Saccharomyces cerevisiae S288C: one gene and its partner. Changing the gene in region 2 together with the main gene of any one other region gives a genetic interaction. Each region holds a gene or a part of one and is shown on either strand. Other genes may lie near its edges. The genes, in order: TAM41 and PIS1.

The links.
Region 1: of PIS1 (region 2) and TAM41, extra expression of one is lethal in a mutant of the other (dosage lethality), as found in Saccharomyces cerevisiae (one study listed by BioGRID).

Annotation. Positions count from the first base shown.
Region 1 is NC_001139.9:583,024-586,552, reverse strand, and holds TAM41 (putative phosphatidate cytidylyltransferase), read right to left. Parts: upstream 1,659-3,529; coding exon 501-1,658; downstream 1-500. Other genes in the region: transcription factor TFIIIC subunit TFC4, read left to right, coding at 1-161; YGR045C (uncharacterized protein), read left to right, coding at 2,257-2,619; RME1 (Rme1p), read left to right, coding at 2,661-3,529. UniProt on the Saccharomyces cerevisiae protein: Catalyzes the formation of CDP-diacylglycerol (CDP-DAG) from phosphatidic acid (PA) in the mitochondrial inner membrane.
Region 2 is NC_001148.4:750,184-753,419, reverse strand, and holds PIS1 (CDP-diacylglycerol--inositol 3-phosphatidyltransferase), read right to left. Parts: upstream 1,164-3,236; coding exon 501-1,163; downstream 1-500. Other genes in the region: ALE2 (Ale2p), read right to left, coding at 1-119; RNA-binding ribosome biosynthesis protein MRD1, read left to right, coding at 1,501-3,236. UniProt on the Saccharomyces cerevisiae protein: Catalyzes the synthesis of phosphatidylinositol (PtdIns).

The DNA of each region.
Region 1 (3,529 bases), on a different chromosome or scaffold from region 2:
GTCTGGTATCGATTGCAATTGAGTACTATAATAGAGTTCTAGAAAACTACGATGATGGAAAGTTGAAAAAACATGCTGCCTATAACAGTATTATAATATATCAGCAAAGCGGAAATGTTGAGTTGGCCGACCACCTCATGGAGAAGTATTTAAGTATTTGAGAACTTGTTTAAATATTTTAAACTATAAAGTATAATTGTAATATAACCCTTAATAATAGAAATATATAGAAATACCCCTTCAAATGCTACAATGTGTTCGTAAGTACGACATCCATTGCATATACTGGAACGTATGATCCCCCTTCCATAATGCAAGTAAGTCAGTTTGAATGCCAATATGGGATAATGTATATTATCTAGAAGAAGGTAAAAATAAAGATGAATAAATATTGACCGACGCCAGAGATTTGGAATGTGAATAGAGCGATTCTTCGAAAGAGATGAAAGGACGATAAAACATTTTTGATAAAAGATAATGTGTAGATAACATTGGATACACTAGCTTCTCCTCATCGATTTTAGTTTTTTGGCCCAAGCATACTTAATTGACTTTGTGATTCCAGCTGTGAAAACACCTTTAATAGTTTGTAATGCACTTGATTTACTAATACGGCTGAGCAAAAGTCTCTGAGTATTCTTTAATGTGAACCCTTTTGGAAGATAAAATGAATCATTTAGGACCACTTCTTTGTAAATCGGCTTGTAATACTCTTGAAATCTTTCAAAGTTTTTGGTAACAATGTTGTTAACTTTGTCGGGATTTTCTCCACCCAGTTTGTATCTAATATCACCTGCATAACTTAAGGCAGTGATCTCCTTGTAAAATTGGAATTCGTCAAACTTATTGTTATTTTTCTCTAAGGTGTAATGTTTGGCCAAAGTAGCTGCAGCTTTTAAGTTTAATTGGTTCCAATATTGCACTCTCAAATCATTCTTCAATATTTTTACAGGCTTTTGTAGTCGTCCTGCTAAATAGAATGTATTCCAAGTAGCTATGTCCTTTAAAAGTGTTTCCATAGAAACCACCCCATATTTTACGTCGTGTCCATTTATATTTGCAAATGGATTAAAATATACGCCTGCGCCGATCTGTTGAAATTTAGACACGAACTCGGAACCGAAGTATTTCAAACTTGAATAATGTTGCGGATTCTGCCTCATATTAATAGAGTGAAAATGTGATGGATATGTGACGCCCAAGATTATATCGATTTGAGGTTTGCTATGACTTTTGGAATATCCCGCTTGTTCGAAAACTCCTGAGCCGTAACCAAATACAAACCGGCACGGAGCTTTGAAGGATGACATTACCCCATCCAGTTCCTTTTGAAGTTCCTTATCGATAGTAATGAGCTGGTTACTTCCATAGTTGGGGGGCAATCTGTGAAACTTGTACATATAATTTGTAAAATTGGAAGTCATTTCGTCAGTTTTTCTTATACCTTTTTCCAAGAGGTCCAGATCACTGCCTTTAGTAATTCCCTCGATGTAGTGATTCGGCCTTTCGTTAATAGTTCCATCGGGGATAATGCCAGCATCATCTATGGAACTTCTCCCCTCCTTTATTTGAGTACTCAGAAGCCTATTAAACATGCTTACGTTCGTTGAATGGCATTTCAGCAGAAACCGTAGACCATTTTCAGAAACTCGTAACATAACTTCAGGATATATCAAAGTAAAAAGCAGCTCCTATTAATTCAAATTATTAGCTCAATCCTATAGCAACGTTTCTCAAGTTTAATTGTTTTGAAGGTTTTAGAACCTTTTTCACATTATTTAGTCCGTCGAAACATCTACTCTTTACTATTTATGGCTAAACAGGCTGAAGGGTATGATTTCTTTTCTTTTCTTTATTCATGTCGGGTAAGAGAAGGTCACTTGACCTATGATGTGGGGGCAAATAATAACGTGGGAATAACAAGCGCGCTACTGGTAAGTGAAAAACTAAGATAACAGTTGAATTTCGTGTTTAGATGCTATAGAGAGTCTGGTACAGCATTGGCGATTTAAGACTTCTCTAGTCCACATTTCTTAAATTCAAAATCACAAGCGCCTGTTAACGATCATTTTATAATCTACGATGTGTAAATGCAAAAAGTGCTTTCCTCCCTCTTTAGTTTGGACAGGGATAGTGGGTAAACGAGTAGCATTATGAGTGCATACATTGCCAGAAAGAAACCGCAAAGCGGCATATCTTTTTTCTTCTTTCTGTTGTAAGGGATGCTTCGTCACGTAAAATGGCCGCCGGAGTGAGATGTCACAGATTACATCAAAAGGTCGGCGTATACTGGATAAGAAAATCCGAACTTTTCCGGTGGGCTTTACCAGCAGAAAAGTGGCCGGGCATGTATTAAATATATCACCGTATTTTCTGCTGGCTTTTTCTTATGCAGAGAACAAAGGCCAGAGTGCCTTCGAGGAAATTAAAGGGAGCAATGTGATAGATATGTCCTGTGTCATTTGCTTCAATTTTTCCTGCCATTTATTTGTAGTTATATTTATATCTAGATCAACCGAAACTATACCAACGACGAAGCTGCTTCTTAGTAAATATATTTTCTACTGTGTCAACGCATTGGAACTGACATTGTTCTTATCCTATAAGTCATACAGTTGAATTTGTTAATTCTTTACTAGAAGTTGGGATTTTCAGCACTTATGTCACCGTGTTATGGACAAAACAGTGCCATCGCCAAGGGGTCTTGGAACAGAGAGGTTTTACAAGAGGTGCAACCGATTTATCATTGGCACGATTTCGGGCAAAACATGAAAGAATATTCGGCATCACCCTTAGAGGGGGATTCCAGCCTGCCTTCCAGCCTGCCTTCCAGCACTGAGGACTGTTTACTACTATCATTAGAAAACACAATCACAGTTATAGCCGGAAATCAGAGACAGGCTTATGACTCTACGTCGTCTACTGAGGAAGGTACAGCACCTCAATTACGGCCGGATGAAATAGCGGACAGTACACACTGTATCACGTCATTAGTTGATCCGGAGTTCAGAGATCTTATTAATTATGGACGTCAAAAAGGAGCAAATCCTGTATTTATTGAGAGCAATACAACAGAACAATCCCATTCACAGTGTATTCTAGGCTATCCCCAAAAATCGCACGTGGCACAGCTATATCACGACCCCAAAGTACTCAGCACAATTTCCGAAGGGCAAACAAAAAGAGGAAGTTACCACTGTTCTCATTGTTCTGAAAAGTTCGCAACGTTAGTTGAGTTTGCCGCGCACTTAGACGAATTCAACCTTGAAAGACCGTGTAAGTGTCCCATAGAGCAATGTCCCTGGAAAATATTGGGTTTCCAACAAGCAACTGGTCTGAGAAGACATTGTGCTTCCCAACATATAGGAGAGCTTGATATAGAGATGGAGAAATCATTAAATCTAAAAGTAGAAAAATATCCAGGACTGAATTGCCCATTTCCTATCTGTCAGAAAACGTTTAGGCGCAAAGACGCCTATAAGAGACATGTGGCCATGGTGCATAACAACGCTGATTCAAGATTTAACAA
Region 2 (3,236 bases):
AAAATTGAGTGCAAGTTGGAGAGAATCGCTTCCGACTTGATTATATTGCGATTTGCCAAGAACGGAATCACCGTGGTCTTAAATAATTCCGGTTGAGGAAGCGACAATAAAACATCCATTTTTTCTTGTAGGCAATGTTCACCTTCGTGCTTGAATTCCTTCCGGGGGGGGGGGCAGAAGCTTGAGATAGAGGAGAGGTCTTCTTCTTTTTCTTTTTGATCTGTCCAACAAACGTTTTTTCTCTCTCCTTGGCTTATGTTAAATATGCCCTCGGGAACTGCTCGAAAAAAACAGGAAAAAAACCGCGTTGAGAAAAAGTACCAACAATATGAAATTTTTCGTTTATTTGAGCATTTGTTGTGCCAAGTATAATCAAGACGATAGAGTAGGCTGCTTTTAAAGTTAAATCAACGAATGTTCCATTTCACATAAATAAAAACTACACATAAATAAAAGATTAGCGCAATTAAAAGGAGAAAAAAAGTAAGAAACTCATCCTATCAGTAAGTCTTGTTCTTCTCGTTGGCATTCTTGGCATCGTTGTCTGCTAAAATCAAGGCTGCCCTTTTTAGCTGGACAACGTTTGCGGTCTGCTTGAACACGTAACCAGGGAAACTTATGATTGTAGTCCATTTACCAAAGGTTGCAGAATTTGAGAACAACTGCAAGTACAATCCAGCATAAAATAGTTCGTTAAACGCACAGATAGTGAACAGTACGTCTCTTCTCGTGTAGTACAGGTGTAACAATCTGGACTCACCCTCGCCCACACTTTTATGAGAAGTCTTACCAGCACTTAAACTGGCATACATATGCATGTAGTGACTAGTAATATCCAAGCCCAGCATTAATTGGAAGAAAACGCACCATTGGGGATACTGCACACAAAGGAAACACATCAAGCCAGCGGTACTGGATCTGTCGGTAACCATGTCCAGAACGGCACCCAGACTGGAAACCTGATTGTACTTTCTTGCCATGGTTCCGTCTAGCGCATCCAGTAGACATGATGTACTATACAACCATGTAAAGGCCGTAGGATGATTCTTCATAACGAAAAAAGAAAGGGCGGCGGTGATAACACGAACATAACCGATCTTATTGGGAATATACCACAGAACGTGTTCTGCAGTAACCTTTTCTGGTGTTGAATTCGAACTCATCTTGTACTATCACACTTTCCCTCTTATTTACATTACTTGAAGGCTCCACAGTGACGGCAAATAAACCATACCACCTCTCATGTTTTTTATGTTTTACTTATATACTAAAAGTGAAAAATCCTCGAGACGGAAAAAACAATAGGAGGGGCTTTCCCTATTGAGAAATAATTTCCGTAATAGGGATTTACGTGCGGAGCGACGTGAATTTTATAAAATGAAAAAATTTTATGGAAATTTAGAGCTCATCTCATCTCATCTCATCGGTACTTCATATGCAAAGACTGCAACCTGAACTGAGATTTAATTTGAGCCTCAAGCACAAGATAACATAACTAACATGTCCCGTATCATTGTCAAGGGTTTGCCCGTCTATCTAACAGATGATAATCTCAGGGAGCATTTTACAAAAAGATTACGTCAAAAACATTCCCATCAAGCAGTTAATGGTAGTGGTCCAGACCTCATAACAGATGTTAAAATTCTTAGAGATAGGAACGGAGAAAGTAGAAGATTTGGATTTATCGGATACCGTAACGAGGAAGACGCTTTTGATGCTGTAGAGTATTTCAATGGCAGTTTTATCAACACTTCTAAGATAGAAGTGTCCATGGCTAAAAGCTTTGCAGACCCAAGAGTCCCGCAGCCCATGAAGGAGAAGAGAAGAGAAGCTCTGAAAAGGTTTAGGGAAAAGGAAGAAAAATTGCTACAAGAAGAAAATCGAAAGAAAAAGAAAGTGGATGAAAATAAGCACAGCAACATTGATGACGAGATTCGCAAGAACAAGCAATTACAAGAGTTCATGGAGACTATGAAGCCAAGCTCACAAGTCACATCATGGGAAAAAGTTGGCATTGACAAGAGCATAGAGGACGAAAAACTAAAACGGGAAGAAGAGGACTCCAGCGTGCAAGGGAATTCTCTATTGGCTCATGCATTAGCCTTAAAGGAAGAGAATAATAAAGACGAAGCACCAAATTTGGTCATTGAGAATGAAAGTGACGATGAATATTCGGCTCTCAACAGAAACAGGGATGAAGATCAAGAAGATGCCGGAGAGGAAGAAAAGATGATAAGTATTAGCAATTTGAAGGATACTGATATAGGTTTAGTTAATGATGACGCTAATAGTGATGAAAAAGAGAATGAAAAGAGGAGAAACCTCGCCCAAGATGAAAAGGTTTCTGACCTAGATTGGTTCAAACAACGCCGTGTAAGAATCAAAGAAAGTGAAGCGGAAACAAGGGAAAAATCATCATCATACGCTACTGAACAAAATGAAAGTCTCGATACCAAGAAGGAAGAACAACCAGAACGTGCTGTGCCGCAAAAGACGGACGAAGAACTGGCTATTGAAAAAATTAACCAAACTGGCCGTTTATTCTTACGTAATATCTTGTATACCTCCAAAGAAGAAGATTTCAGGAAACTATTTAGTCCATTTGGAGAGTTAGAGGAGGTTCATGTGGCTTTGGATACCAGGACTGGTCAATCCAAAGGATTTGCATACGTTCTATTTAAGGATTCTAAGAATGCAGTGAACGCCTATGTTGAATTGGATAAACAGATTTTTCAAGGAAGACTATTGCATATTCTTCCTGGTGAAGAAAAAAAAAGCCATAGATTAGATGAGTTTGATTTAAAGAATATGCCATTGAAAAAGCAAAAGGAATTGAAAAGGAAGGCAGCTGCATCCAGACAAACATTTTCTTGGAACTCCTTGTATATGAACCAAGATGCTGTTTTGGGTAGTGTGGCAGCCAAATTGGGTCTAGAAAAATCTCAATTGATCGATGCTGAAAACTCAAGTTCGGCTGTCAAACAAGCTTTGGCTGAAGCCCATGTTATTGGTGATGTTAGAAAATACTTTGAATCCAAAGGTGTTGATCTGACCAAGTTTTCACAGTTAAAATCTACAAATCAAAGAGACGATAAAGTGATACTGGTTAAAAATTTTCCTTTTGGGACAACTAGAGAAGAGCTTGGCGAAATGTTTTTGCCATATGGTAAATTGGAAAGATTGCTCATGCCACCAGCTGGTACAATAGCTATAGTGCAATTCAGGGACACAACGTC